4 linked regions of the Astyanax mexicanus genome follow. The protein of the gene in region 3 interacts with the protein of the main gene of each other region in a pairwise test. Links are inferred from orthologs where the notes say so. Each region holds a gene or a part of one and is shown on either strand. Other genes may lie near its edges. The genes, in order: ranbp1, psmd4a, nupr1b and ptmaa.

Evidence for each region.
Region 1: the proteins of nupr1b (region 3) and ranbp1 interact in a two-hybrid assay, tested with the Homo sapiens proteins (2 studies listed by BioGRID and IntAct). The link is inferred for Astyanax mexicanus from reciprocal best matches to the Homo sapiens genes NUPR1 and RANBP1.
Region 2: the proteins of nupr1b (region 3) and psmd4a interact in a two-hybrid assay, tested with the Homo sapiens proteins (2 studies listed by BioGRID and IntAct). The link is inferred for Astyanax mexicanus from reciprocal best matches to the Homo sapiens genes NUPR1 and PSMD4.
Region 4: the proteins of nupr1b (region 3) and ptmaa interact in binary tests that used the Homo sapiens proteins (3 or more experiments, as listed by UniProt). The link is inferred for Astyanax mexicanus from reciprocal best matches to the Homo sapiens genes NUPR1 and PTMA.

Annotation. Positions count from the first base shown.
Region 1 is NC_064429.1:10,915,193-10,923,313, forward strand, and holds the start of ranbp1 (ran-specific GTPase-activating protein), read left to right. Parts: upstream 1-4,670; 5' UTR 4,671-4,795; coding exon 4,796-4,810; intron 4,811-8,121. UniProt on the Homo sapiens protein: Plays a role in RAN-dependent nucleocytoplasmic transport. Alleviates the TNPO1-dependent inhibition of RAN GTPase activity and mediates the dissociation of RAN from proteins involved in transport into the nucleus.
Region 2 is NC_064410.1:30,609,324-30,617,963, forward strand, and holds the start of psmd4a (26S proteasome non-ATPase regulatory subunit 4a), read right to left. Parts: upstream 3,592-8,640; 5' UTR 3,509-3,591; coding exon 3,483-3,508; intron 437-3,482; coding exon 296-436; intron 51-295; coding exon 1-50. UniProt on the Homo sapiens protein: Component of the 26S proteasome, a multiprotein complex involved in the ATP-dependent degradation of ubiquitinated proteins.
Region 3 is NC_064426.1:34,461,393-34,469,984, forward strand, and holds nupr1b (nuclear protein 1b), read right to left. Parts: upstream 3,632-8,592; 5' UTR 3,421-3,631; coding exon 3,324-3,420; intron 1,815-3,323; coding exon 1,687-1,814; 3' UTR 1,677-1,686; intron 1,151-1,676; 3' UTR 274-1,150; downstream 1-273. UniProt on the Homo sapiens protein: Transcription regulator that converts stress signals into a program of gene expression that empowers cells with resistance to the stress induced by a change in their microenvironment.
Region 4 is NC_064412.1:25,140,433-25,148,386, forward strand, and holds the start of ptmaa (prothymosin alpha-A), read left to right. Parts: upstream 1-4,358; 5' UTR 4,359-4,373; coding exon 4,374-4,421; intron 4,422-4,448; exon of another isoform or gene 4,449-4,463; coding exon of another isoform or gene 4,464-4,499; intron 4,500-5,801; exon of another isoform or gene 5,802-5,959; coding exon of another isoform or gene 5,960-6,004; intron 6,005-7,954.

The sequences.
Region 1 (8,121 bases), on a different chromosome or scaffold from region 3:
CTGATCCTTCATAGAGTCCCCTTGGAAGTTGCAACCCCCAGGTTAAGAACCCCTGCTCTAGACCAGGTTAGCATAGGCTAATCACCTGTTATGCTAATTATATTAGCTGGCCAGTTTGTTTACAGAGCAGTTTAGAGAAGGAACACCATCAGTTTTAAGCCTAAAGGACAAAGAACGTTCCAGAAAGAAGGAAAGCAGCCGGAAGATTGAGAAAGAGATAAGATTCCTCCACTGGAGCGTCGCTATATCGAGCCGATACAGCAGAGAGAGGGGGGGTGGAGGAGGGTAGTAAACAGTGTGTGTAAGCAGAGGGGAGGGCACTGATATTTTAAAGTAATTTAATAATTCTGTTATAAACAGGTCGACTCGGGAGCTATAAAACGCTACAAAACCGTGGTTTAAGTGCTAATCAGGAGCACAGTGCACTGCAACAACAACACACACTTTCAAACAAGAGATTTCCAGTTAAAACAGACAAAAAAAATTACATTTTCAACAATTTAGTGGATTCAGAAGAAGTCCAGGAGCAGCTCACCTGTTTCTGACTGGGGCTGAAAAAAAGAAAAAAAATAGAGGAAAATTTGCACAGTTCAATTAGCCTTAAAATATAGATTTATATATATATTTGGTAATAGCTTTACACTGGAGCTTAAAAAGCTATTATAGCTAACTAGCAGTGGAAGGTTATCCCCCACCTATTAGCATAATGCTAACTGCATGTGTAGATTTTTATCTAATATCCAAATTTATAACTTGTTCTGCCCAAGTCTAAATCACAATTTAAATCCCAATTCTTGTCATACATTGATTAAAAATCGATAGCTATATTGATGTCTAGATTGATATTTGATAATGTGGACAAACAGAAACCACATTTGACCAGTGTAGACACTCAAATCAGATTTTAGCGAATCATTTATGTCAATTATTCACAATGCGACAAACAGCGACTTCACTAAATTCAGAGTAAGAAAAGTGTGAGGATACCTTGAAACAACAGAAGCACATTCAGATACAGAGTGGTGGGATGAAATAAAGATAATGCGATAATTATTGATACGTGGATCTTTAGTAGCGCAGATGCTGTGAGGAACCATACAGTATTATCCTCTGAGTTGAGTATCTAGGATTGCTGAATAATCAATATCATAATATTATCGTATGGTTAGATGCCCTGCAGATATGTTTGCGATGTCAAGACAGGCAAGTCCGATCCCATCACTCAACAGCAAATCAGAACATTATACATCATCAAATCTGATTTAAGGAACAAATCCCATTTACATGCAGTCTGAACACCATATACACAGCCATATATGATTTAGTCTTTATTATTTGGTTACATTTTAACATTGATATAGCCCAAGATTCTACTGCAAAAATACAAGAACAAACTTCAGATTAATGTCTACACTAATTGAGCACCTTTCGATTCCAAGCTGTTACCAATCTGAATCCAATTTTCGCTAAACTGGTTAGCTTACGAAAACCTCTGAGTTTCGTAGCGTTGGCTCCCCCTACAGGAGTTAGGAGGTAGTATTTTTTTTTATTTATGTTCGCGGATGTCTTAACAAAGTAAAACAACAAAAGAAAAAGAAGAAAAAAAAGAAAAAGCAATATGCTGCACAATTAGGAGGGTGTGTGATTTCTCTTATAGAGGGATGGAGGGGTTATAAACAAGTGCAAAGAGGAGGAGAAGGAGTGTGGGGAGGGAGGGAGGGAGGTTTTGGGGGGGTTTGGGGGTATTTAAAATAAAAAGAAGTATATGTATATTTAAAAATAAAATAATAAAATAAACTCTGTGACTTGCGAGTGCAGTCTGAGGCCTATTGCTGTGTTATTGGTGTTTCAATTTACATAATGTAACATTGTTCTTCTTTTTCACAATTAGGGATATTGTGTGTTTGATATATTGTGATACATTCTGCGATGTATTTAGTTGAGTTAGTTTTGTCCGGTTTCATACTTCAGTTCAAACTTTACTACACCCTTTTAGTCCTCATCTCCTACATAGGCGGAATCTCCCTATACTAAACACACACTGATTAGTTTGTAAAATTATGTATTATTATATAGATGTATTACACACAGAGTGATTTATTTTAAGCGTTTATTTATTTTATTGTAAGTGATTATTGTTTACAGCCAATGGAAACCCAAAACTCAGAGTCTCAGGAAATTAGAATATTATATAAGACTAATTGGTACTTTTTCCTGCTGGAAAATGAAATCCGCATCTCCAGAAAAGTTTTTCTCAGCAGAGGGAAGAAGCATGAAGTGCTGTAAGATTTTGTGGGAAAACAAAACTGCACTGACTTTAGACTTGATAATAAAACACAGTGGATCAACATCAGCAGATGACACGTCTCTCCAAACCATCACTGATCATCAGTAAATTTTACATTTCATTTAAAGGAAATCAAGGGATCAGAGTCTGGAGGAAGAGTGGAGAGACACACAGTCCAAAGTGCTCGAGGCCTAGTGTGAAGTTTCCACCAATCAGTGATGGTTTGGAGAGTCATGTCTGTCATCTGCTGGTGTTGATCCACTGTGTTTTATTATCAAGTCTAAAGTCAGTGCAGTTTTGTTTTCCCAGAATATCTTACAGCTTTCCTCTGCTACTGACAACTTTTATGGAGATGCAGATTTCATTTTCCAGCAGGAGTTGCACGTTGCTCACACTACCAAAAGTACCAATGTTTTTTTTTTTTCTGAGACACTGATTTTTGGATTTTTATTTATTTTAGATTTGGAATTGAATCCCAGTCTCCCCCATGGTAGCTCACTGGCATGCAGTGGTGGTATCCCCACAGCTATATTCTGCACTGGTCTAAATCTAAACTGGTCAACCAGTTTAACCATGATTACCAGCTTAAACCAGCCTGGATGTTTTTATTTTCAGCAGGGACACATCATTTCCTGTACGGCTCAGCTGACCCTCTGTTATCATCATCCTCCGAGCTGGGCTGGACGTCCTCCACAGCTATATACACACAGTTCGACCTGGACTACAGTGTGTGTGTTTAGTTATACTGGTGGGAGTATGATATATCTCCTTTTCTGCCCTCTGTTAAAGAAAGGACAGATATAAACAGAGACAGGCCCTGTACTCCCAGCATTCCTCCTGCCTGCACCCCACAGGCCAGTTCTAATACTGGTTATACTGGGGCTTTTCTGTGTGCACGTGGCGCCCCCTGTTGGATCTCAGAGAGAGAGAAAAAAGGAATAAGGGTGATCTGAAAATGATGTCCTTTATGTTCTTCAGGCTTCAGAGATCTCTCTCTGAGAGTTATATAACCCTTATAACCCTCACAGGCATGCAGTGGGTGAGGGGTAGTTTATGACCTTTATGTGCATGAAAGTATCCATCCATGCATTTATTCTCATACTAATGATTTTATCCATCAGTCAGTTTAGATGTGGGATTATAACGATGATAATTTATTAGGGTGATTACAATATTAGAGTGAAATCATTAAAATTTACTAGAGAAAACTGTTTAAAATAACTGGAGGAGACTATATACTTTAAACCTGTTGTTTATTCACAGTCATTGTGGATTATTGTGTTAGCTGTAAAGCTAATCTAGCTAGCTAACAAATAATACTTGTTACATAATGGTGTATCAAATGGACAAAGACACAGTTACAAACAGTATTTTTATACATAAGAACTCCATGCTGTGTTCTTTTACTCTGATGTATAAAAGATTTACTTCTATTTGAGCATCACCTTTAAGCAACTTTACCTGTGGACTGGAGGGTCTCTGATAAGCTAAAAACGTTTAAATCTTAGAAAGTATATCATTAAACAGAATTTTAATAATGAAAATATAACAGTAAACAGTAAAATCCCCTTTCCCAATTAAACACGAATGTTTATGCTGTTATTGTCTGATACTTTTTTTAAATTTAGTGTGATAATGCCCTGTACCCTTGGATCTCTGATCCTAGAATCACCTATTATCTATCTAAATTATTATACTTCTTCTGATATGACCCACTCACCTCTCATGGGGCGTACAGGGGCCTGAGTTCCTCAAACCTTGATTCTTATAATGCATTTCCATGACTTATTAAAAGCGTGGGAACAAGATAATTAGGTCGTGGGGATGACTTATATGGCCAAGAGCTATTATTTTTTCAGTTCCCAAGCCTTAGAGAGTTACTAAACCCTCTGATTTTAGCTGACTCCACCCTCAGCTCAAATTATATAAATGCAAAAAACAAATGGGAGTGGCACTGTGTGATGTATGGGTTTAGAGGCAGGGCAGAAGGGAGATTTGATTGAGCTGAGCAGTGTGCCTCTGATAACCAAAGTACATGATAACATAATCCTCGCCTATAGCACGAAGGAGGAAATGACTGCAATAAAAGTGTTTTTTTAAAGGTTTATACATTTTTTTCAGCTATAAATGAAAAAATATAGTATAGGGTTTTGTGCCTTTTTAATAAGTTGTGGCCACGCATTTTCATTATTCATTATTATTATTATTTTTACATGATGTCACTGAAGGTGCGTCATGCTTGTGTGTTACTTTCTGTGCTCTTACCGCTCACTTTACTACGCTAAAATCAAAAGTACAAATTTTATCGATTTGTTTTACGTTTATTTAATCGATTAATGGAGATGTACGTAATCTACAAGTGACGTCACCGCCGGTGCCGGCGATGACGACACGCCGGTTCAGTGCGCGCGCGAAAGCAGGAGCATTTTCTCCCTCCCTCTTCCCTCCTCACGGCCGGAGCGAAAAACATCCACTAAAACTCAACAATCCGCAAACATCCACAAAACTATGGCAGATCCTAAGGTAAGGACGGTGTTCTGGGGAACGTCTGGGGGTCCTGCGGCCGTCTGCTGCGATTTTTAATCGTTAGGATGGTTTTAATCCGCCTGTTTTTGGGCTGGAAGCGGAGATGGTGAATAGTAAAAGCCGGCTGTTGCTTTACTGCAGCGAGCGGCCAGTCCGGCTACCGGACACGAACCCGGGCTAGCGGGCGGCGGGAATGCCCTGATATTTGTGGCGTTTTGTTGTTTTAGACGATTTTTAAAGCTGTAAAACTAATATGCGCTTTTTCCGCACTCCTACAGCTCGGTTTACCGCCTGTTTCCGAGCAGGTTAGCTCTGCTTTAGCCGCGGCGGCTAGCTAATGTATCTGTAAATAAATGAATAAATCGGTTTTATTAATTAAAGCTTCATTTTATTGTTGAATATATTGGCAGTCATTATTTGGTTAAAGTGTTAAATCCTTGTGTTAATGTAAAGGTACCTAAATAAATAAACTAACCTAGCTAGCTAGCTAACTAAGCTAACTACTATATGTCGGCTTGCTGCCTAAGCTAACGTAACTAACTAGCCGTTCTACCTTAAATGCTGGGCGCCAGAATGAAACCGCTGCGGGAGTTAACGTTAAGGTGGACCGGCTAATTCGAGCATCAAACCAAACTTCAACCTCTCAAGCTTGCGATTTTTTTAATTTATAAAGTTTTTTATATTTATTTTGATTTAATTGATTAAATAATTAAAGGCCCAACTTGAAATAGTAAGCTTAAATAGCAAACCTGTTGAGCACCATTAGCTAGCTCAAGTTAGCTAATACAACTGCAAGGCCTAATAAGCTAACATATTGGCTAAAGCTAATGAATGCTAATGGATAGCTTGCTGGCTTTTGATTCATTGATTGACGTTTTGCTCACTAAATAAAGTAACCAGTATCTTAACCTGCAGTGCACCTAAATGCAACGATGAGTTTGAATGAAAAGTAAAAAAGACTAATAGCTATGTTTTGTTTAGCATTAGCAGTTAGCATTAGCTTTTTAGCATTAGCATGCTCCTGGAGGAGCACATGGGCTTCAGATGACTGGTGTCCAGTTCAGCCCAGTACAGTGGTGGGTGGTTCTGAAGGTGCTGGGAGTTAACTGGTGGGGTTAATGAGGGCGGTGAAAGCAGGTGAATCACCATAATTGCTGGGTAATGTTGCTGGTCTTTGGCTTTGTTATAGGTGATGATCTCTCTTGGGTTTAGACAAAGTTTTGGACCACCTACAATGGATCTAAAGGAGAGGGAAAGTCTATTGTAATGGTGTGAGACTAGGCCTTGTGAGCCTGATTGGGTCTAAGATGGGATAAACTAGTTCATTTAATTCTAGGATGTCTAGGTTTTAAGACATTAGAATTAGGCATGAGCAAAATGTTTGGAACTTTCTTCATGGAATGAATAGGATGCAGAAGCTTGTGCATCCTGGTTTAAGTCGTGATAACAATCACTTGGCAAAGCCCTAGTAACCATCTGAGACTGTAATCTGGGAATCAATAAAATGCTTTAACATAAACATTTATAAGTTTGCAGTTTATAGATTATTTTGGTACTAGACTAGTCAACTAATCTGGTTATTTTTCCAATTAGTGAATGGCTATTGCAGTATTCAGTATTCTGTGACCATGGTCCACAACTAAGGCTCCAACTAATGATGATTTTGGTAGTCGACTAATCCGACTATTACTTTTCTGGATATTCTCAATTAATCAGCACTTATTTCTGCAAAGCCTTCCGTCTCTGCGTGCTGTGGGTACGGCCTCTGTAGACTTAAAACATTAGAAACAAGTGAAAGTGGCAATTAAATACCATCCTTTGACTTTGGAAAGTACTGCTATTTAGCGAGTAAATGTGTAATCTGTTGTGTTTGGACACTTTTGGAGACACAGGTTGAGGCTGGAACTCCGATACTTTGTGTAGTTCTGCAAATGAAAGATTAGTCATTGAACATTTGGAGTCGACACATTTTTTTATAGTCGATGCTGTTGATTTTTTTCAACTAATCGTAGGAGCTCTGTTCACAGCCTCACCTGCTGAAGACTGCACTTTTTGTGAATGTTACCCTGTTGTTCAGTCTCTGCTTTAATGTAACCCACTTTATAATCCAGTAGCATCCACATCAAATGTCAGAACAAGGCATCTACCTGCCAATGTGATCAAAACCACAGAAAATACAATAACAGGGCAACTTACCTGTATTCCATAGCAGTCACCATATGTTTCACCATATAACACTAGATAGCAACATGTTTTTTAGCTATTGTCTAGAAGTGGGAACCATTCTGCATAATCTTCTGGAAACATTTTATTTAAACATTTATTTTCCTACGCCCATGAGATTCACAAAATTGTGGTTCACTGTACTGAAACATACAGATTCTGCTTATTTTACAGTTATAATCTGGCCCAAAATGTGGGTTTACTACCTTACAACATACCACTTTTTGCTTCATACTGTGCTAGTAAGTGCTGTTGGCCAGCCATCGCCTCAATCACCACCTCACCTGCTGAAGTCTACACACCTGTGAATGTCACCCTGTTCTTCAGCCTTTAACTTAACATAAAACAAGTTCCCATAGCAAATTAAATAATGACTACCTGAAATACCAGGATAAAGCAGCCACCTGGAACACCAGATCAGCCTTTAGCTGTTCTAAGAAACCTATTTTGTGTGGAAACCAGATGGACAGGTGTCACATTTGGCATTCTAACAGTATCATATCATCTGTTGTCTTCCGTTTACCTTGGAAGTCAGATGTTGGAGCTAGAAATTTCACCTCGCCTGAGTTGGCAGCATTGTAGTTAAACATTACAATAAATTTGCACAATTTCAGAATGTTTCAAACAGTTATCTAAAGATAAATTGGTTTGGCATTCATTTATCAGTGTATTTTGGTGAATATAACCAAAATATCTCACTCTTCATGCCCCAGGTTAGCACCAGATGAGCGTCTAAAATTTCCAAAAGCCATGTTTATATGGAATGTAGCATTAATTGCATTCTGTGAATCAGAAAATTAAAATTTGTAAAGTTGAGTAGATTTGAGTAGTTTGATGGATCATCGTCTACCTCACGTTTTGGGTGTGGGGGGTCTCTGGCGGTGGGTGGGGTGTGGCGATACCCCCGTTAAACCCGGACTCTTCCGGTGCGCCGGGCGTTGGCGTGGTCCGGGCTCGTGGTTCAGTACCAGCAGGCGGGAGCCTGTCTGCTGCAGCAAATCAGAGACAAAAGCAGATCCACAGACTGAGCTCTTTAAATCCCCCCTGCCTTTCATTCTGCAGATCTACTGAACCGACGGGGCGTC
Region 2 (8,640 bases), on a different chromosome or scaffold from region 3:
AGAGGATGCGCCCCGTGTCGGGCGTTAAAGTAGTCAGGACCTCACAGTTACTGCAACCAAACAACAAATACCAGATCAGTAAAGAACAACCAGCAGAAACAAAACACAGCACGGCTAAATAAGATTAAAAAAAGCTAAATGGTGCCACATATATAGAGCCAGAGTTGTATAAATATTGGTAATATCTGTAATACACTCAGAAACAATCCTGTGATATGCTGTAATGTAACTTATCACAATTATGGATACATGTAGTCATATTGACCCACCCTACTAATGTTCAAAAAGCACTTACTTTGCCATTGTGATGAGTCCCACGTTATTTTCCGGATTGCTGCGGGTCTTTGAGTGACAAACGATATTAACAGCATCCTGCTGTGCTTGTAGTCGGGTGGGCAGAAAATCTCCATTTCTCATGTACTCACTGTTGTCCACACTGTAAAATAAACAATAAATGGAGGAGTATAGTGAATGTATGCATTTACACTTAGAGATACTTTGGCCAAACTGAAACATGTATCAGTCTCTTGTAAATCATACAGTGCCTGTAAAATGATCAAGAATGATTAAGAACTTTATACATTTACAAAAACATAGTAATTTGTTAGTCAAAGTAAATTAAAATATTTAAATAACTGACTACATAAACTAGGGCTGTGTATGGGCAAGAACTTGGCAATATAATATGCATCACAATGCAGGGGTTATGATTTCCATATACAGAGTAAGCCTTGTATTTCAGAAACAATATATGGCAGCTTTCAAGATGGCAGCCATGTTCTCCCCATTACTGGGGTTTTCCGATGTAATTTTTCCTTTTGTTTCTGAAATCAAAGGCCCTGCAACTGCAATGTACTGTGACACTGTAAGAAATGCAATATACTGTGATTGTTCAAACTGAATTTTTATCCAAAAAGAACAGAGAGATCTGAAGAAAATGTACAACACTGTTGTTTAATATTCAGGGTCAAACACAACACTAAATAAACTAAAGTCTGACACCAATCTTTACATATAAAATCATTTTTAAAAACCCATACCATGTTTTTTTTTATTATTCTGTATTGTAATACAAAACCCTGATACAATACCACATTACCATTTGCTTACATCCCTAACAAATATTCAACTCCTTCAAAGTGACTGGCCAAATCTGACAGAAAGCCAGGCAATCGGTGCTAGTAATCACGCAGTCAGTAAAAGAGAGATCAGCTGACTGCAGTAAATAGTGTACACTCAAGTGATTTTAGTATAAAGACTCCAGGTTTGGAAGGTCCCTACTTAGTTAGTTTTCCAGGCTATAATTACACCATTAAAAAAAAAAAAAAAAAAAAAAAAAAACATCCATCACAAGATGGATATGAAACAAAGCCAACACCTAGCTAAATCCATCAATAAAAAGTACAAAAAAATAGTAAAGAAGGTAAAAGTAAATTAATCCCTTGGAAGTTTTCCTAAACTGTGTTTTCCTAAACATTCTACAGCATCTCAGTCATGGCCATTATTAAGTAAACATTGACGAAAATTGAAGGGTTTTTTTCTTATTTTAAAAGTTAAAATTGAAAAAAAAGAGGGCTCTCAGCTACGTCACGATATCCTAAATAATGCTATAATAGTCTCACGGTAGCACTTGTTCATGTCAAACGTGGAAGTGAAGTTACAATTTCATGTATTTAAAAAGTTTGATGTATTGTATGCATACTTATTATGTATTAAAATTAATATCCTAAATGGTGCTATAACTGTCGCAAAAGCAGGGTTTTTAGCACTTCTTTGTCATAAACACAGAAACAAAATGTATATGGCACTGGCACATGTTAACCATGAAAGGAGAGTGGTAATTTATTGGTGTTAGAGTGTATATGTATACCTACTAATTATGGAGTAGATTTATTTCAGCATAACTACCTTCAGAGCAATATATTACAAAATTTAAATCTCCTGATTATTTGTATGTATTTTTTTTTAACATTTCAGACAATATGTCAAAAAGACATAATTCAAGAGTACATAGAAATAGTAAGAGGAAGAATAATTTGTGTTGCTTGTCAAATATATAGCATCTCGTTCTTGGCCATCATTAGGTTTAACGTTACTTATAAACAAATAGATGACTTTGTTTTTTAAAAAAGTTAAGGTTGGAAAAAGGGGGTACTGAGTCAACTCATCACATCCCATGCGGTGCTATTATAATCTAAAAAGCAGGGATTCTCCAAATCCAGTGCCCAATCTGGAGATTTCCTGGCCAAAACAAACCCACATCATCAGGTAATTAACAGACAATTAGATCCAGGTGAGTTAATCTCGGAAACGGTGGAACTGTTCTAAACAAAGGCTCCACATAACTGGACTAGAAGGACCCTACTCTAAAGCATAAAGACATTCCTGTTTAAAGTATAAAAAAAACAATATATTTGTGCTTAAATGGGGAAAAAAACTACAACAGCTAAGAGGTGGCTTTAAAAAAAAATGTGACAAATGCTAACAAGCTAGCTAAATGCTTACGCTAGCATGGGATGACATGCAATGTGAATTCTAAACGTTAGATGACTTTTCTATTTCCTAACAATAGAACTAACCCTGATTTAAATACTAAACTGCCTAACTAGATCAAATATATTGCTGCGTGATCACAGAGAAATCACAGTCCTAAAACTAGACCTCTTAACTAACGTTAACTAACTAACTAACTAACTTAATTAACACCAGGCTTGTGCCACATCAGCTGAGTCAGGTTAGTCATCCATGAATACATCCAACTACAGAGTTAACATAGGTTATAATAACTGTAAAATGTAATGGAGATAATGGAGCAAAGAGTTTAACAGCAAAAATAAGCTCTACAGTAGCTAGTTAGCTAGCTTACAAACAAATAAAGTGGGCTAACTTAACAGCTAGCATTAGCTTAGCCATTATAACCTCTTAGCTAAACTTGGCATTAAGGTAGCTGCTCTCTTTACTGACTCTACTGTACTTGTACTGTATTTAATCCCTGATTCTGTGTCTAGAGCTTTCAGGAGATCAGATTAATGAACCGATCGCTCCGGCCGGGCTGAGGATGATCTTTAGAGCCGCTACGGGAGCAGCGTTAGGTCCGCTAATAGCCGGTTAGCATGACCTAGCCCCGTTTAAACAGCCCGTGTTCAGGGAGACTCGGCGGTTCACAGTCGCGGGTTTCAGCCGCTCTCAGCGCGGGTCCTCCCCGCGGCTCGGTGTTTCTATCTCGCCTGGTGTGCGTGTTTGTGAGCGGTGGACTAAAAGCTCGGATCGCTAGGCTAGGCTCTCTCTCAGCCCGACCGGGTAATAATGACTCAGGAGAATCTCCCCGGAGCTTCACCGCTCCTCTAACCGCGCTCTCACACACACCCCCCGCTACCACAGCCCCGCACCGCGCTCAGCCCGCGCCCCTACACTACAGCACACCGCCGCGCTGCCCTCACAACACACTAAAAACAGTCAAATATCCACTGTTTATTTCTTACCAGACCATAGTACTTTCCAGCACCATCTTGGAAAATTTGTACTCCTCAACAACGCCGCTGCTGATTGGTTGGCTCTCCGGTATTCATATCGCCGTACGTGATTGGCTACTGCCAGCACGGCTCCGTGTTCTTCAGTTCCTCAGTCTCGCCGCCGGCTGGTTCAGATCCTGTAGTGCAGCCCAGCTCCTTTATTTATATAAACACCCCGAATTTAACAAGATCATTTAATGTAGATTTGTTAAAGAAGTAATAGTTTTCATTACCTTTTCCAGTTGTCTAGTTTTCTAGTTCATTTCTCCCCTGTCTGAAATCAGATAAATAAAATAACCTTTACTCGAGTTTACAATTTCCTCTCGGAATCTGATGCAGATCAAAATCCAACCTATTTTTGTTAAACAAAAATGGGAAATTAAAAGATTAAGTGTCAAAGATTTTTTTCTATTGTCCCTGAAATTTAGATCTTAAGTGGCAGCAATGCCACTTTTTTTCTTCACTATACTAAATTAAGGTAAATATAATGAACATCTACACCCATTTTTTTAGCCTAACCAGTTAGAACATTGAACTGATAAAGGTTACATAAGTCAATAAGAAATGAGATTTCTTGATTTTTTTATATTATTTCTGCCCCTCATCCAATCCAATGAAACAGTAGAAATACTTAGGAAGATATTACTTTTTCATTTTTTTCTGATTGGGAGGAGCAGAAATTATAAATATCTACAGATAACAACCCATTCCTTCTTCACTAAATCAAATGAAAAGAAAATCAAGGTGTGTTCACTGGTTAGCATCAGGTTTCGCTACAGGTAGTCACTGTGCTTTTTGGTGACATGGTCTGTACCACATCCAATATGGACCAAAGGAAGTGAAGGAAAGAGTTGTATCAGGAGATCAGAAAGAAAATTATAGACAAGCATCTTAAAGGTAAAGGTTATCAGACTATCTGCAAGCAGCATGGGTGTGGTAGTGGGAGGAAAAAAGGGGACCTGGCTACCCAGGGCCCGAGTAGGGAGAGGGGCCCATGAAAATAAAGATTTTTTTTTTCGCTCATGTTACTTGTGTACTGTCATAGATAGGACGTGGCTACATAAGGAAAATTAATGACAAATAAAAGAAACGGATAATACGGATGGTAACAAAAGAACCCAAAAAAATGTTAAAAGAGATTAAAGGTGAATTTTAAGCTCAAGGAACATCAGTGCCAGATCGCACCATCCGTCATTGTTTGAGCCAGTGGACTTAATGGGAGACGACCAAGGAGAACACCATTGTTAAAAACAAAACATAAAAAGGCCAGACTGGAATTTGCCAAATGACATGTTGACAATCCACAATGGGAGAATGTTCTTTGGACAGATAAGATAAAAAAAAAAAAAAATTGCCAAGGCATATCCACTTTGTTTCTGTCCAGGACTGTTTTGTAAGTTTATATATTTTTAAATAAATAATAAATAAAGCATGGTTGAAAAGCAATGTCTGACTTTTTTGTTTGTTCATTTTTATAGCATTTTTATTTATGACTTTTGTCAAGTTATGTCTGTGACTATTGTGGGTCTTTCTCTTTTTATCCAAGCGATACCAACAATTGTCTGTGTGTATTTATGTATTTTTATTTATTTATTTGAATTTAGCCTTAAATATTAGATAATGAAACTTAAGTTACTCTGAGCAGTCCAAATAAGAAAACAACAAAAAACTAGATCCTGCTGGGAAAAAAAAAAACAGCTCAAACCAACTTTTACTGTATGCACCGGATTTCAGCATAACTGCAGATTTGTCTGCTAAAACCAGTCAAGAATGATAATTTTTCACTATTGGAACTTAATGTTCTATGTAGAGCTTTACAATGCTAAAAGAAGAAATGTGAGCAAGAAAAGATTTTCAGGAGCCAGTTTATTTAAAAAAATCAATTTAACTGTAATAGGCTGATCAGCTGATGATCACAAGTTTAAGATCATAGCTTAAAAAAAAAACTAAAAAAAAAACCTTAAAACAGAAATATTCTATTGAAGGAATCTTTTTTTCTCTGCCACCAAAAGCTCTTGGCCGTGTGAATACTTGAATATTAAATGCAGTTGCCAATAAATTGGCTGCTCAGAAGTTTTTGCCTCTTGCATGCATTTCTTCTTTTAGTGCAAAATGCAAATTTTTGCTATTATTAAACTGTTTTTAAGATTTTGATCAGAAATATATGTAAATAATTACAGGTGGGGTCTGATTAGGCACTGGTCCTGCCTCAAGAGGGCGTAAAAGTGCTTCTAGTGTCCAACCCGTTTACCCGTCATCTGCCGACTAGTCAAGCCATCCAGTCATGGCATAGATATATTACATTTTGAGTTCTTATGGATTATAACACACCTACTCGCACTTTGGCCTGTATCTGCAAAACAGCAAATAATATGTCTATCATTCTCACCTGACACCACACGAGTGCCCATGTTAACATCATGTTTAAAGCAGGTATGTGGTGCAAACTGTACGTTTTGAGGGATTTAACACACACAGTTTACAATGTGGTTGGGACATAATATCTGATGAAAAGCTCTGTTTAATTGACAGAATTAGTCAATTAAAACATTCCCTTTATAACTCGTGAAGATCTCTGTACCACCTGTTCCATTTTTAACTGAACAATTTCACACAGCTTGACACAATGCATCTCACAGATGTTCCTTCTGAGCAAGAGCTATGAATATAAAAACAGCCATCTTTCATCTAAACACAGGTAAACTAACATCAAATAGAAAGGACAGAAAGGATTTTCAGAGTATTTGATTTGCATATGGATATTAATTGAAATGCAGGGAACCCCCAACATGTTGGAAAGATTCAAGTAGTAATTCACGTATGTATTAAATACTAATATGCTACTAATATAGTTTAAATATCTATAGTTATTTAAACTTTTTGACTTTATGTGTGAACCTAATGTTTCTAGTTTCTAGACATCCTAAAGCTTAGGCATCACTTAACCTTCCAACAAGATTATGATCCCAAACATACCTCAACTTCACTAAGTCTTAGTCTCAGAAGAAGTCCTGGAAGAGCCATATAAAGCCTTTGTTGAAGGGCAGCATCATGCAAACCCAATAATGCCCATAAGAAAAGGATCATGATTCCTCAGGAACGCTGCCAGAATCTGGTATCTGTCTATGCATCTTGCTTGCAAAAGGTCATAAGTGTAAAAGTACTAAAGATAAACGTCTTATAGGGGTTCAATAATTTTGAGACATTAAAAGTTGCATTGTGTTTCAAAATTGCAGAAAACACTTGCTATTAGTTGTGCTATTTAGTTTTTTCTGGTTTGATTAATTGCAAACAACTGAAAATATTGCAGCAATATTGCAGATAAATTCTATTGTGTTTAACGGGGGTTTGATCATTTCGATTGAATCTGTTTTTCAGAAACACTTTCATGCTTGAATCTCCCTTGCCATCACTTCCCACAATGCTATTTTAAATTTAGATCATGTCTGTGAGAAAGCCACTCAAGAAGAACAAACACATTTTTATGTAGATTAAACTATATGCAAATTACTTTTCTTAATGAAATCATGCATACAATTATTTGCCCATGAAGGGATGCACATGGTCAGCAATATATAGGCTGTGGAATTCAAACATGTATATTTAAATAAATACAAATATATAAACAAAAACAATGAGTTCTCTATTAACAACAATTATCACACAAGACCACAGAAAACAGAATGCATTTTTTTCTTTTTTTAATGAATTCAGAATACAGTATGAAAATCTGTCAGCACAAAAAGAGACAGCTGAAAATATACAAAAAGTAACCCATTTAATACATCTTCTGTAATAGAAAGCGAATAAAAATCTGCATAGTCTCATTCAAAGGTAGAAAAACAAGGAATAATTATAAGAACTTAGTATTTAAAATATTTCTTAGGAGTGACAAACATGGGGTCAACTCAGCCCTCCCAGCACAGCAATTTTTGAGTGCATTAGTATACTGAATTTTTTATATACTTGCACTAAACCATAAAAAAAAAATTACTAAAACCCCTTTAAAACTCACTTTGTTGATCGCCACTCTTACAGTCCCATGGTTTCTGACGTTGCCCATTCAGTTTTTGCAAAAAAACAAAAAAAACAAAAAAAAAAAAACAAAGATCAGCAATATATGATATATGATATATATATATATATATATATATATATATATATATATATATATATATATATATATATATAGCATAACCCCCAGGCATAAGATAATACACATTTTGAAATGTAAAACAGAGAAATAAATTACATTTTTAAAAATAAATAGTTATTTGTACAGGCTTAGGCCTTAACTGTCTTCATGGTAGTTGACAACTCATCAAATAAATTTTACCATAGAGATATTTATGGTAATAATTTGATCTTTGCTTCTAATGTCCCTCAAGAAAACAGTTTACTGAAAATGTTTAAGTACACAACATCCTGCTTACTCCTAATGTACTCAATCAAGACAGATTTTTTTTCATTTACACAGTGGCTATTAAGGCTAATATAGCTAACTAGCAATAGAAGACCATGTAACCCAAAACCAATAAAGCATTCATATTAAAGCTACAGTTAAGAGGAAACTGTAGCTTTTAGTTAGAAGTTATCAGAGAATAATTTCTTAACTGAGTGAACCTGTATTAAAACATTTAGTAGAAAAGGCAAATATAAGGCAACTAGGGAAGCAGAACAATCTTGGAAAGGGAGTCATTTCAGTAGGATATTGCTTTAAAAATGGGCATCAGAGGAATGCTTAGATTTGACAGATTATTAAATTGTATTTATTGTACTTTGCTGAAACATCTGTATTCCACTCACTTGTCTGTTTTTAATCTTATACAAATTCTATACTCTGTAATGCTAATCCAGGTAGGTACCACTTTCTACATTTCAATAGTCAGTGCATCCCCGATATATAAAACTGTTGCTATAGAAAGTTGCTAAAGACACAAAGAGTGTCCAATCATATTAAAAGGCCCGTGCAGGGTTTCATTCACCTTAATACACCTCAACTGTTTGAAGACTAAGAGCCCAGCTGATCAAACAGGTAAAGTCAGGTGAGCTTCAGTTTCTATGGAATGAAAACACGCAGTCACACCCCTGCTCTTCTCCATTAACTACCTCATATCCACAATAAAAT
Region 3 (8,592 bases):
AATAATATTAAGAATTTGAAACAGTCGCTTTTACCTAAATTGTAAAAAAAAAAAAAACCTTAAACCAATCTTAAAATTCTGTTTCAGATGTGTATACATGTACATTCAAATTCACATTTCTAATACCATTATTCTATCAACCACCTGAAACATTTTGTATTTATATTTCCATAAAGTGGCTTATAACTGCCCCAGTTTTTTTTAATAGTTAGACTGCTGCCCTCCATCAGTCATTATGGGAACTACAATGAAAACTCAAATGGAGACACAGTATAGTTTTAAATTAATGTTTAATAAGTGCTATGGGACAATCAATCTGGTAACAATGAAGCAAACTGTCAAGTGGGGCTTTAAAACCATTTAACCAATTCCCCCCCCCCCCCCCCCTTTTTAAAAGGAGAAAAAAAGAGAAAAGAAAATGCATTTATAATGAAACAGTCAAGCCCAGGCCAGTTCAGTTTTAATATAATTGTTGAAGAGGCACAACTTGTGCTTGCTGTTGGGGGTGTTAATAGCTGAATATTAGAGTGAGTAGCTTTATCTCCATTTAAAAAGTATAATGGATAGAGCCTGTTAACCAGTCACAACTTGTTGCTTTCATACCCCCCCTGTAGTGGGACATCCAAAACTGCTTGTACACACTTGTACCAAATTACTTTCAAGCCTTTCCTTCTCAGTGTGCAAATCCATACACATAACAGACAATAGGTTTGTACATTATATTCCAATTTATTATGAAATGAACAGGACTTTGTGGGGGGTGGTGTAAGAAATAAGACTTACATTTTAATATGTTAAAAGAAAGGACTATAAGCCCACTGGAGAGTCAAAAGTAGGTAAAAAAGATGTATAACAAAGACGGTCATAAAAGCACCACATTAACCACCACAGCACATGCACACCCAGTTCTCCAGGGTTCACTCAGGCACCAGAACAGGTGCATGGCCCAGCAGACTGCACGTGCCCACAAAAACCTTGTGAACCCTGAACCAAACACTGGCCAGTGCAAACTGAATCATCGGTCTCCCACGCCAGCAGTCATCTCATCACAGCCGAGTGGACTTTTGGAAGTCCCTCGTATCTTCTGCCCTTTGATATCCGTTGCCAAGGCGCCCAAGGTCGGTTGCCAGATCAAGCCGTCCGATTCTTTCTAAAAGAGAAGAAACATTTGGAATGCTTAACAAAGCATGTTGGGCACAATTGCAATATATAAAAAACTTTTAAAAACACAGAAATGGACAAATAAAATCCCAGAACTATTGCTCAAAAAGAAGAAGTCACTGCTGAACTGGTGAAGGATTCTAAAAAAAAATAAATAAATAAATAAAAAAATAAAAAAAACACCATCAAACAAATCATCAAAAAAAGTCATATGCAGTGTCAGATGTAAAAACTGCATCCAGCTCTTCTGGACCAGGTATTCAGTTGTTTTCTCAATGGTTCAGGTTTAAATCCAATGGGTTTGACCAAATGGTGGAATTTCAAAGCAAAACAATCTGTCAATCTCAGAGTCAACAATATTATCTAGACTTCTGAAACTGAGGGCAATTCGTTAGTGATATCATTTCACAGTTTCGCCTTAACAGAAGTAATGAGGGATGTTCTTGGACAGTAAACTGGCCAACTCCAATCCCTTTGTGGTTAAAAGGGGAAAAAAACTGTTTTATCTGATTTACCTGCTAGGTTTCACTCTTTGGCTTTCTTCTCAGTGTTCTGAAGCTTTTCCACAATCTTGCGCTCATGGCCTCCAGGGTTGGGGCGGTTTGTGTTGCTGCTTGCCTCCTTCTTCGTTCTGCCTTTGCGGCTAGTGCACTCTGCAGGACACAAGCAGCAAAGCACGTGCTCAATCACACACATGCACCAAAACAAAACAGCTCACTGCATCATTTAGAACACACTTTCCAGGTGCAGTCCTGAGGGGCTTTCAATATACACAATAATTTTAATAAGCCAAAGTCAGTTCTTACTTTATAAAAAATGGTACATTTGGGGATTATTTTTGCAAACAAAGTATTTAACAATTGGGGGATAACACAGCAAAGAACATAAGGCTCGAACAAAACAGTTTCTTTGAAATACATGCTCATGTGGTGCACTTGAGGCTACTCAGCACCTCAAAGTCTCAGGAGCTAAATCCTTCTACTTGTGGCTAATGGCCACATTTAGTTCATGTTCAAAGCTATTTCTTGCTTTAAAAGAAATATTTGTAGGGACCTGGGGCCTTTATAATTTAATTATTTCAAATGCATTTTATACCAGAAATCAGCACTATTTCCTATTATCCAGTTAACTAGGCTTTTCAATAAAATCGTTATTTAATTATCATTCAATATATGGAAATGACATCATTTAGCTGTCTTTAATATTGTTTGTGTTTTATTTCAATTCCAATTAGATTGGCTGATCAATTTTGTAAAAAAAAATAAAATAAATAAAGTTCATTGTTGGCCAGGTATATCAACGGGAAACATTTGTCTTAAAATGTCAGTAATATTTTCTATTAGTTATTTATTGGACAATATATTGGTCGATTATAATATATAGTTAGTGACAGACCTACACTGCAAAAAATAAAAATTAAAAAAATTTAAAAATACTTTGGCAAAAGCGAGACAGTATATAAATCGAAACCTATATGTCATTATATCTTGAGATAAGCAAATTTTACTCTGTGAAGTAAGAGTTTTTAAAATAAGCAATATCAAAACCACAAAATTAGTAAAAAAAATAAGACTAAAAAAAAAGATGGGCTTACATTCTAAAAACAAGCATCAGACTTTTTGTACTTATTTTTCAGTCCAAATGATTTAAAATAAGGGATAAAAATGACAGACATTAATCATAAAATGAGAAAAATAATTACACTTGCATAGACAAACATTAGAGGAAAAATAAGATTAACTGATTTGAGATTGTTAAGACTTTCTTTTGAGTGTACAGCTAAACATCTCCACATGTTGTCCAGTAGAACTCTGCTGAGGAGTGACTCAAGCCAAGTAAGCAGAAGGTTAGCAGGAAAATGTGTTGAGCAGATGGAGGACTACAGGAATGAAGGTGGAGGAAAAAAAACCCCACTAAATTACAGTACACTACTCCACCACACTAAAGCCAAATACCACAGCTACAGTAGCTAACTACGACTAACATATCAAGGAGACTCGAGGCTACAGATAAATACTACAGGAATAAATAGAAAAATAACAATAGGAACAATTATTAGGAAAACACAGGAAGACTATCTACAAGTTTTCTTAAAAAAAAAAAGAGAAGATTAAAAATAGGTTTAAAGTCATGTTGGTCCGCTGTAAACTTGTATAACTCACCTGTGTATCGGTCTGTGAGATTATAATACTCGTATTCATCGTAGTAGCGATCCTCAAAGCTGGTGGGCTTCAGGTTTTTCACGTCGACGTGACTCATCTTTATATTCTTCTTTCTGCTAAATTAGGCAACAAAACTCACTTTAACTGATGTTAAACTAGGCTATGAGGAATTGCGTACACTTTCTATATCTCAATATATGATAAAGCTGAGGAAAAACTGTTCAGTTAGCTCAGAAAACAAACTAAAACCAATCTATTCCTCTGTTTTCTCCAAGATGCTGTGTTTACATCCTCCCTCTTTGGCTCTTTATATAGTTTAGTGGCTCCGCCCCTCTCCTTTTCTTCCCTGCTTTAGGCCTGAAGTTGCATCAGACTGTAGTTAATGTTTATCTGAAGGGCCTTGCCCTTTTACAGCCAAATAAATCATCATGTCAGATGACCTTGTTTTGTTTTGCTCAGTTCAACATTATTCCAGTACAGTGACTGTATATAAATAGCATTTCTAAAGAAATATAGCTAGTCTACAATTACAAAAAAAAGTATACATACAGTTTATTTTATTAAGAAAACTTAAGTAAGTAAAGTTGAATATATTTCACAAGTAAATATTATTTAGTAAGTATATTAGGATCAATGTACTTGTAGTACACTTGTATATGTACTATTTCAATACTTCTTTGTACTAAATTCGCTCAATTTTAGTATATAAAAGTAACATTTTAAGTGTTCTTTGGGTGTACAAGTAGTAGACTTTGAGTACATAAACTAGTTTACTAATGTGATCAAAATAAAACTTTACTACTTGTACACTTGAAGTATATGTTTACTGTAGTTATACATTTAGCAAACTAACATACTTTCGTAATTTCAGTTTAAAATAATTATACTAATAGTACACTTCTTTCTTTTCTTATCTGTCTGAGAAGAAATCTCAGAATAATTTCTGAAACCTTTTTTTATAAAAAAAAAAAAACTGCTGAATATCAAAAATTATATTAGGAGATCTTATACTTATCTTCTATGAACCTTATTCAGCTGAGACTAAGGTAAGATTACTATGATTGAGAAAAAAAGGGATAAGCCACACATGAGACATGATTTTGGTTAAATTGAGAAAATCAGAGGATTGTCTCTCAGGAGCCGAATCACAGAAGCAGTATAAAATTGCTTTGAGACTAAAAGTAAGCTCTGTGTTATTATAATGTGATCTGTCATATCGTAATTATTCTAGTGTTGTCTGACCTTTTTTCTTTTATAAATCTACTGTATTCTGTTCTATGGTTCAGTACGTTTTATATTTTTGCTGTATTCTGTTATAACATAATTCTGTGTAACCCTGTGTACTTTGGAGGAATCCAGTCTGTTTAGTTCTGTGTTTTTTCCCTTTCTTGTCTTGTTTTTGGCTCTCCACCAGCAGACACATATCAGGTGTAGTTTAGATGACAGTTGTTAATGTTTATATCTCTGAACCACACCTGTTCATTTACTCACACTTCACACGTCCTGCAGCAGTGTGTTTCCCACTAACCTAGCATAAACCTGTTTGTTTACTTCACGCATTAGAGAGCTTCTGAAATATAAATAGCTATGTTTACCTGAGAACCCTTCTTACCTGTTCATGTGGTGCACTTAAGGCTATTTAGCTCATCAGAGTCTTTTTAAAAGGTTACTATGGTAATTTTGACAGGTGGCAGCTGCTGTAGGTGGTTCCTATGGTGTTGCTATATGTCTTTATGATGTTGTTCGATTTGCTATAATGTTAATAATGTTGCTGGGCTGTTGTCCTGATTTCCTGTCTGGTTGCTGTGATGTTGCTAAGTGGTTGCTATTGTGTAAATTTGCATTGGTGTTTTTAAGAGGTTACCATGGTATCCTAGGTTGTTGCTATGGTATTTTAAAGTGGCTACCAGGTTATTGCTGTGGTCTTAATAGGTGATTGCTCTGATATTCCAGGTGGTTGATGTTGCATTCCTAAATCTTTGCTTGATGAGTGTTATTGTGCTGCAAGGTGATTGTACAGTTTTCCATATCCGTTTTTTAGAAGGCCTAAGACTGCTCTGATTTAACAATATTTAGTCAAAATATTATACCATTTCTGTTATGTTTAGGCCTTTTCTGGTTCAAATTAAACTAAACATGTGATTTTCTTTGTAACCTTGATAAAGTACGATGTGTTCTAAGTTATCTCTACTGCATTTGACCGGTCATTTTGCACCGTATCCGTTCCTGTGTGTTTACACTGGGCAGGCATGTGTGAGCAGAGCTAGAGATGCCACAGTTTTGACTTTTAGTGTTTTAGTTTTTGATAATCAGAATCCCTCACAGTCAGTTTATCTCCACTGTTTTGTGTTTTGTCTGCTTCTTCTACTGGGTGACGTGGATTCCTGTAAGTGTCCTGTGTTTGGGTCTGGCCGCAGGGATGGTGAGAAGTACAGTCTGAGGGAATGTTTAGAGCTGAGGTCTGGGAAATTCCACACCACAGTGCCTTGGATACATGACCTCAGCGTTTATGGATACAGTGTGAGTGTGTGAGTGTGTGTGTCTAATGCGCATGTGTGGCAGAGGCAGAAATGCGCTGGCAAGATTTGTGTTTTCATTCACAAACAAAGATAGAAAATGTGTCAGACGGACAGGCCGTACTTCTTATCGGCAGTCACGTACAGACAAACACACACACACACACTGCTGACTGCAAACAGGCTTTGAAGTACAGTTCAACTTTTTTTGCAACATTAAACAAAAGTCTTCAAACCACGGATAAGAACAAAGAGTAACAAGTCTGTACTCATTCTTCATACATTTTTGTTCTCTAATATACACTGTAAAAATCCGTATCTTGCACAACAGCGAAAAGAACCCGGTACCACATTTTTTTACACAGCAAAAACATTTTATCCTAAGTAAAATCCTCTTAAATGTAGTCTACATATCTTTTTTTCTAATTCTGAGAGTATTTAAGTAAGAATGGCATCCTTGTACTTGTTTTAAGTGATTTAATCTAACAAAGTTTCCTATTGTATTGGCAGATAACTTTGCAGACACTTCAGAAAATTTAGTTTTTGCTAAGAAATTATGTTTAAACAAGGAAATATATCTGCCAACGCAATAAGACACCTTCAGTAAAATAAACTGCTTAAAACATGTTAGAAAAAAGTTGAATATTCTTATAAAATTCATAAAAAATTTATGTCAGATATTTTTTTACATAGATTTAACCATAACACGCTAAGATTTCCTTTTTTTGCAGTGTATGTATTTTCTTGCTGACTCAGCCCAGATTTTTGTTTTTTCAAAGGGTTTTTCTTAATAAACTTAATCAAATGATCACTAAAACTTTTGTTGGGATTTTTTACAGTGCTATAGTATAGTACACTACTCATTTTGATACATAATGTCTTGTGCTTTCCCTTATGAATATCCTACAGTTTTGGCTTAACCTGTAACTGGTGTCATGTGAGAGGAGGAGTGTTTGGTTCAGCAAATATTTGGATTATTATCTTAGCTAAATAGCCCTCACCTGACAATAGTCTGTCTGTTCATAATAAAGCTTGAAAGTTTGTGAACCCTTTAGAATTTTCTAAATTACTGTAAATGTTTGAGCAATAATGTCACCAGATTTTCACACTGAAAGTAGATTCATGAATTCAAATTCATATTAGACCTGGTCATTTATTTAGTGGGCAAAATGACCCGATATTAAATATATTTGAGTGATAAAAGTATGTGAACCTTTGTTTTAAGTACAAGGTGTGACTTACTTGTGCAGCAATACCTGCCTGCTTCAGCACAGCCCACAACATTTCTATTGAATTAAGATTGGAACATTGACTTGACCATTCCAAAACATGAATTTTATGCTTATTTATCTATTCTTAGGCAAAATGACTTGTGCGCTAAGGGTAGTTGTCCTGCTGCATAACCCACATTCTCTTGAGATTCAGCTCACAGACAGATGTCCTTTTCTGAATTTATTGTTTCTTCAATGATGGCAAACTTTCCTGGCCCAGATGCAGCAAAACAGCTCCAAACCATAATGCTACCACCACCATGTTTTACATTTTTTGCTTGAATGCAGTGTTTTGCTTTCTCCAATGCTTCCAAATTTAGCTGAAAAAAATCTTCAGTATGATTAAGCAGACTCTAAAGCAGAGTGGTGATGCACTGTTCTTCTGTGCTGCAACACCTGTATGAAGATGATCTTTATGCAAAGGTCAGCAGAAGTGGCCTGTCCTGTGTAACTTACTCTCCCAACCACATATAAGGAACAAAATGCAGTTTTACACTAATATATGTATTACTCATCCTGCAAGAGCACTGCCCCACCCGTTCCTCGTGCACAGAACAGTTTGAACATTTAATAGTGTCATGTGAGAGAGGAGCGTTTGGTACAGTAAATATTTGAATTTTTAGCTGAGCAGAAAAATCCTCAGCTAACAAAGATCTTTTTAGCTATGAAATCTGTCTTTATGGAATTACCATGTTTTGAAGTGACCCTGTTGAAAATTAACTGGATATTATCTTTCCATTTAGACTTTGGCCTTTCTCAACATCTGATCTAAAAGATAACTGAAGTGTAATCTACTGCTTACATAAATATAAAAAATAGCCCTGCTTTTGTTTTGTTCTGTGTTGTGTTTTATTTTTTGGCAACACTAATCCATACGTGCTGTTTTTCATGCACATTTCTCTTTCAGTTTCCTCACAGGCCAAGTCAGACATTTGCATTCAAAGTGCAAACGCTTTCTATGTGTTCAGAGGACAAACACAAATATCACTCAGAGTGATACTGCAAATGGAAGTGGCCTAGTTTAGCAGAAATATGACCTTGTATGTTTTATCATAGAAACAAACCTTGTAACCTGTTCCTTTGGAAGAGCTTCACATATGCAGGTTTCACAAAAACAGTGCCTGCATGTGCATTATTGGTAACTAATTATTTTGCAAGTGAACAAAAATATATATGTTGTACCCAGACCAGTCTCAGTAGAGAAAGTCTGCTCTATATGCTTCATGTTGGCTAACTAGCATAAGAATAATTTGTATTTAAATTTATATCATGCATCCATTATATACCATGCACCATGATTTTCCCACATATTTTAAAGAAATCTGCTTTACCAGATGTAATTTGAAAAATATTTTTTCATATAATCACTACCTCAGTGAGATGTAGCAATCATGCTCTTTATTGGCCTTGAGATGCATCAAGTAACATGGAGAACATTTTACGAGTAGATGGATTATGTTTATTTACAGTGTATGAACAGTG
Region 4 (7,954 bases), on a different chromosome or scaffold from region 3:
TTAAACCAGAACCAGATGTATATCTGGATATGGGAAATATTGTGTAGGTTCAAGACCCACAAAATCACTTAAGAGGAGAGGAGCTTCTGCAACTGTGCATGAAACATTTTCACCATCTAATATGGTTTGACTTATATATGATATCTATTATATCAACATATTAACTGGTTGAACACGTTTTATTAAGATGGGACAATTGAGCAAACAGCGTGTAAAGCCATAAAGGGTTTTCTTTTTTTGCCATAAAGTAATGCCATAAAATAACCACTATTTTATCCAACTGTACCCCAATTTAGCTGAGCCAGTTAACCCACCCACTCACTAAAACTCCTCTTATCAGCCACCCACCACTTTTTCGATCTGAAGCATCACTAAGCAGACAAAGTGCTTAGAGGAAAGTGCCATACCCCCAGCTTGGATACATCAGCTATCTGCACATCCAAAGAGAGAGAGAGAGCATGGCCAATTTTGCTCTATTGTCTGTATTGTGATTACTTATCTATTAATACAGACGCTTATCTGAGTTATGACTGCTACTAAAAAAACACTGACCAAAAATATTTAAAAAATATATTTTTATGTTTTTGTGCAGTGTAATATGCTAAATGATATATGTGTTTTGTTCTAATTCACTGAAGAAATATTGTGATAGATTTATGTATTCAAATATCATAAAGTTACAGCAAATCATGTTTACGATTATGACTTTAAGAAAAATGTCCATGTCTGGTAAAAAAAGTTGGTTCCTTTAAGAACCATTGATTAAAAGTATCTCTGAGGGTATAAAAATGGTTCTTCTTTTATGGCATTACTCTTTACTCTAGATGTTTTGCTGTACACTAAACCCTTATTTTTAAATAATTCCCTTGTTGTGATTCCCTCCCCCATCTGCTCACTACACTGCTCTGGAGGCAGATAAGTAATAATCTCATGGGACGATAAGGAAGAAGCATAAACACACTGGCTCCTGTCTCAGAAAGTGGAAGTGGAATCGCTGTGTTTTCTCTGAACAGACAGGATTTTAATAAACGCAGGGTCTCCACGTTCCTCGCCTGAGGGCGTTTGGGGTGCTCAGCAGTAATGAGTCTGTCTCAGAGTTTAGGGGCAGGGCCAGCCAGGGAGATGAGGGCCAACAGAGCTGTGGGCCCCTGGGGTCTGGTTAAGATCACGTGACAAACCGTACCAGACGGCGGCAAAGCAGGGGGATTTCCAGCCAGTCTATTATTGTAGCTGACAAGAAAATAGTCCTTAAAGCATGAATCAGAGATTCAAGATACTGCCCTCTCATGGTCTGTCTTTAAAAGCCAAATCCCCTGTTGTAAAAAAAAGGGTGGAGGGGGGGTGAAGGGCGGTGGAGTGAGTGTGCTTCTTCTTTTTTATTTCAGTAGGGGGCAGCCAATGAGCTTGTTTCTATCTTAATCACACTTTTTCCCATATATACAGTATATTTACTACATTTTTTTTTTAAAGCCCCTTTTAAACACAGACTTATTATTCTGTTATTTAGAAATCATGATTAATAGCTTTGACAAAAATAATATGGAAGTTAACATTGATGTAAAGAGTGAAGAGTTGAAGTGGTTGCCCATGTAAGTACATGTTTATAGGGTTTAGTATAGGCCTTCTTTAAAAGAGGTCAAAATCTCAGATTCTACATTTTTATTGTTTATAAGTTTTTTCCTCTTGAGGTCCAGTTAATACACTTTAATACATTTTTATGCAACAAAAACAGTTAGAATTCACTTTTACACAACTATTTGCCAAACTTTCTATTTCAATTAAATTACACATGCAGTTTGTTTCAGGCTGTTTTCATACCTGGAAGTCCGATCAGAGTCCACATCAATGTTGACCAACTGCTTGAATCTTTGCACCAGGAGTGGCATAAAATTATCCAAAAGCAGTGTGTAAGACTGGTGGGGGAGAACATGAATATGAACTTGTTTTCTTTGCATTATTTGAGGTCTGAAAGCTCTGTATCTTTTTTGTTATTTCAGCTATTTCTCATTGCTCTAAATAACAATATTTTTATTTGGAATTTCTTATACAGACCTTTAAGGTTTAGGAAGTTCAAATATATGTTTTCATAAATCATGTTATTATTCATTTAAACTATTTTTAGATAATAAAACTTACAATACTATATTGCTATGTGCAGATGACTTAACCAAAATATAATCTGGGTAATGTTCTGATTATTTACCAAGGCCTGTTTATATGTATTAATAAATCACTTACACAAGCATAAACTCTCATGATCCACTTTCTTCTTTAGTGTTCTTTTTAAAATGCAGCTCTTTTTCCACCAGGGGGAGAACTGAAACAGGCAAATGTACAAATCTGAAGAAAAATAGTTTTTGCCCGAAATTACTTTCAAACATAAAGAAGAGCTGAAGGTTGATTAACATTCTGTCACAAAACAATCTGCAGTTAATACCAATCTTTAAGCCTGCTAAGAATTATAACCCCTAGAGGCCAACAAAGACAGTCTTGAACTGTCTTGAACTGAACTTAACAACAGGTAAGTAAACCTAATGAATTTGAACTGACCTAATTATCTACAAATGATAATCACTTTAATTCTGATGAAAGTATTTAGGTATATTTAATAATAATTATTTTTTTTACAGTTTGATTTGATTATATTCCTGTGTTGACAATGTTTGTTTTACTTTCTATTTGAAAAGTGTTAGCATTTCATTTTAGTATTTAATTTTAAAGTTTCCAAAATCAAATAGGAAAAGAGACAAATCTTTGCTTCCTGTGACGACAGATGTCATTTTCATTGACATCAGGTTTCTGCTGCACTTCTTATCACAATCTAAACCGTTTTTGTACTCAAGATGCTTTTTGAAAACATAATTTTATTAATTCTAAAGTGATCGTAACTAATATTGCCTAACATTACCTTTATATTTTTTACAGACAATTCTTATCTCCTCCCTAAGGCCTGAACAAACAACCTTTACCAAGTCATGAAAGTGAAAGTGTTCCATTGAAAAAGGAAAGTATAAAAGTAACTAAAAAAAAGTAAATGTGAAGCTTGAAAGTAAAAGTTGCATAGGGGGCTGTGGCAGGTTTACAGACAAACTAAGCAGTTTCATTTCAAAGAGCTTCTCATAGGAGGTTTTTGATTCTCATTTGGCAGAATTACTACATGCAATATGTCAAGTAGTATAGTGCCTCCAGCTCTCTGGGCTTAACCTTGTATCTTGTCATTTTCTTTCTATATCTGTACACTCTTTGAAACAACCAACTTTCTGACAAATTGTGGGAAAACCGTTTGAACAATGAACCAATAGAAAAGCTGCAAAATTGTTACATTAACTTTCATTCAAAGTTAAGAAGGCTGTTTATTCCTAAAATTAAGTTACCACTCCCTATTAATACAATATAAAATAAAACAAATATACAAAGTTTTAATACAAATTATATACAAATACATGATAAATGTGAGATCAGTCCAGTTGGAGGAATGCAAATATGCAATATATGACATAATTAGTCCAGTGGAGAGTGCAAAGAAGCTATATTTTACAAATATTTACAAATAATGTGCAGTACAGTGCCAGCATTCCCAATGCCAGTAACCAGTAGCTGTGAGTCTTTTAAAATAAGCAATGTGCAGTAGCACATAACTTTTTTGTTATTTCAGCCATTTCTCATTTTCTGAAAATAAATTCTCTAAATGACAATATTTTTATTTGGAATTTGGGAAAAAATTTTGTCCATAGTTTATAGAATAAAACATACTCTCTTAATTTTTTCCAATGTTTCAATATATATTTACAATTTCTATACCAACTATTTATAAAAATATGAACATGCAAGATGTTATGCTGGCATATATGGTATAACAATATACTATATTTTAAGAAAAAATAGTTTAAAACCTTAATCTGACAGCATATGTTCACTTATCACTCTAATAACATAAGATAATTTTCATAATAAAGCTTATTGTCATATAGGCTCGTTGTTACACAATACAATCTCACATCCTAAACAACAAGTGTAGAGAATAATAAGCCTGTAGTTTAAGGAGTCTGTGGTCGTCAGTTTAATGTTAATAGGATTCGGGATATTAAGGCAAGAAGCTACAGCCTGTTTATATCCGATTATTCTATTTTAAACGCTTTTGTCGGGAAAAAAAAATTAATCTGGGGAAGGAAAAGGATCCATTCATTAGCAGCAGGACTGTGTCGGAGCGCCAGTACGAGCTGAAGTTCACTAAAGATCCGGATCCGCACATGAATTTACAATCCGTGCTTTCCACAAAGCCGTTAGCGAGCATTTTTATTTGATTGACGTCAGGACGGCCCAATCAGCGCTCGCAAAGCGTCAAGTACACGTTCGCTCCCTTCCCTCGTCCAATGGGGAGACTTCAAGACGCCATACGGCTTTCTAATTCGGCCATTTTGGTGAGGTTCATTGATTTCCGTGTTTTATTTCTTTAATCGTTTATGTGTTGCAGTGATTCCTCGTTCACACTTAACGCTGTAAGTCGATGTCTGTACATCTCTAAACACGCGATTAAACCGGGTAGTCGGCTCGTTATTGTGCTTTTTATTTTCCGTCACGATTCGCAGTCCGCCATGTTTGTTGTTGCAACAGTAGCGCGAAACCAACACGGTAAAAGACTTAAACGGACTTTAACTTGATTTTATGTGTAATTGTTTGAAACACTTTGACAACAACAACAAAATCACGTGGCTAAAATCGATAGTTGCAAAAATAATCCGCTATACCCGAGCTAACTATCAGTATTGCTCGCCGCTGGTCTTAAACGAGCCACTGTTCACTCTGCCTTTTTTTCCACTGATCTGGGATCAGCTCAGTCCAACCCATTATTCAGCTTACAAACACAAGACAGGCGACAAGAGCTGTTGTGAGATCAGCGTACCTAATATGACTACAGCTCCAAACATTCAGCGGAGCAGTAGCGCAGCCTTCGCTTCCCTCCACTTCACAGACAATAATATTTTTCAGCAAAGAGACACTTTGGTAAAGAGGAGGGGCCGATAACTGTCACTCAAACCCGTGAAGGAGCTCTGCTAGCTAAGTACCGCAATATTATCCTTTGATCTTTGCTTATGTGACCTTGTTCAGTTCATTGCTTAAAATAATGAACTTTTAAGCATTACCACTACCAGGGACCATTTAAAAAATACATCCATTTTGACATAAACAAGTGAAGTTACAGTGAATAGTAGGTTAACTGAGATTGATAATTTTGATCCCCTGATTCCTACTAAACATGTTCGCTCATAACACATATAGTTCCTATGTAATAACACCAAGAGAGAGAGAGATAGAGAGAGAAGCGAAATACAACCCAATAAGGTTGTAGTTACACGCTGTTAAGCCAAACAGGATAAGCATAAAGATCTAATTACATGTGTGGTGGCTTTAACAGTGTGTGTCTGTCTGCCTGCTGGCCATCTCTCTAGCTATACGCGGATGGTGTAGAAGGAGGATGGTCTCGACTGACGCGTTTTGTGAGCACAGTCCACAGACATCTCCAGAAACCTTTTCTATTTTACAACAACAAAAAAAGCAGTATAGTCTAAATCTACCGCGTTTTGAGGTGGGGGGCTCGCATAAGTCATCCATCAGAAGAGGACCAGTCACATAAATGAGTCAGAAAGGTTGGTTTTGCAAGCGGGTTCCCTCGGTATAGAAATACTGTCCATTGTTCCAGTCTGGCGAATTAGACACAGCCTACGAATTTTTCCTCCCTCCGACCAATCAGCGCGCAGCGCCCGCCTGCAGGCCCCGCCCACTATTCTATATAATGGGGCTCCGCTGTCGGAGGAGTTTGCCACAGGCACTAACTCACCCTTTATCTTTATTATAAGCGATTTTTTTGGGATTCTTTTTCTTCCCCCCTCCTCCTTCTCTTTACATTCATTTTTTTTTCTGCGTGACCGCATCCCATTTATACACATTTTAGGCAGAAATGGCTGACACAAAAGTCGACACCAGCTCGGAAATTTCCGCCAAGGTAAGAGAATTGCTGGAATTGATGACTTACTGTAGCTTTATGATGAACGGACTTTAGCGTACAATGGGTTGATAGGTTTAGATGTGCGGGGTTTTAGAATAATAAAAAAAAACACTTTTTTTAAACGTGTGGACATATTAGTAGTAATGTAGCTAACGGTGCTGTGATGTATGTGGCGAGGGACACTATTATTCGTTTAATTGTGCGTATATTTGCTGTCGTGGACGTGGACGAACAAGGTTTTGAGTGAAGACTTTTCTGGATGAGGGAAATGTTAGCTAGCCTTAACTAACCTGCGCTCTGAAGTTGGGTTTTTTTTTTTACAGGCAGAGCTAAGATTAGCGTTGTCTCCTCAGTTACACTGTTGTAGTCCGCGCGGGTTCTTCTTTGTTATAAAGGCGTTTCGGTTCCCTCTTTTTGAAAAAAGTGCCTTTGAGCTACAGATTCTAATATCAAAACACCGCCAACTTCTGGTTTGAAGGGAGGAGGGTCGGGTTTGAGCCCGTCAGCGCGGGGGTTTATCACCGGCAGCGGCGGCGGCAGCGCCTCGTCCGGGGTTTGAGGGACGCGGAGATTTGCTGCCTCTTGTTCTGAAATGTGACAAGTTGTCTTCCGCGCCGCGCGGCTCTCTGTCTGCTCTGTCCGCTCTGTTCTCCCTGAACGAGGCCACGGAGGAGAGGGGGCTTGTTTTGACACGTTTTCTTTGGTTGTTGTAGCTGAGGACGCTTTTACTCCACGCATCTCATTATTTCTTTATTTATCCCCGTTCAGCTGCTCGTTTGTCGCAGACACGACCTGCCTCGCTGCCTCGGATTTACCCGGCTGGGCTGTTTGGCGGGGATTTGAGTTTGATGCATCTAAACGTTACGCATGTTTTCATTCAGAACTTAGGGGGGGAATAATAATAAAAAGTTTAAGAAAGCGACCTGACTGTGACCATAAGGACGAGCGGGGGTCTTATTTAAGTTGGACTGACTGGTTGGGGGGGGGGGGGGGGGTGTGGGGGGCTTGGTCTGCGCTACCGTTACCTGTCCGGAGGATTTTATTTAGCTAGCGTTAGCTGGTTTAGATGGTTCATCAGGAATACACTATACAAATGCACGACAGCCTCACGTACCCACTAGTGTTCAGCCTATACATCCTCGTGCCTCGGGACTCCAACTCTCATTCTGTGGTGCTTTCCGTCTGTACACTTGGTGGGAAGGTGGGACATTAGACTATATAATTTGCTCTGTAGTGAGAGAGAAGTGCATTCTTCCTCCTCCTCCGCTCCTTTCTCCTGCTGTTGGTAAAGTTTGCCTCGGGAGTCGTTGAGAGAAGGATACTGCCGCTGTTTGATTAGGCTATTTGTCTTTTGTTGTGCTGTTTTTTTTTGTTGTTTGTTTTTGTACTACTCCGCTCTTGATCAGACTTGAGTGTGAAGATCGTAGCCTGTCGTTTCCGTTTCAGCTGTCCGTATATACCGGCCATGCTGCTGCTGCTCCACTCATTTAATAGCCTGTCCACGGCGGACTTTTATTTATTTATTTATTAACACGCGCGCGCACACACACCCTCACCGCCACCTCCACAAGACATCGTTGTCGTGTGTGTGTATATCCTAGCCTAGATAATTCATCCGAGCCGAGTCTACAAAGCGCTAGCGCTGAATGGTGATGGTGTAAGGAAGGAGGCGTAGCTGCTGCTGCTGGCGTGCTGTAGCGCTAAACGGCTTAAAGACTAAGGATTACGACCTAAATGTATTAATACGAGCGATTTGCCACATCAGAAGATATTCTAGGCGATGACACGGGCCTGTTCTGAAGGTGAAAATAGTTTTTCGTCAGTTTCGACAAATATTATATATCTTTACAAATAAAACACACAATTAATACATTATAAAGAAGTTATAAGTGTGTAGAGATTATGGTCCAGTTATCAGTTATCTGTGCACGTAAAGTCCATTGGGTA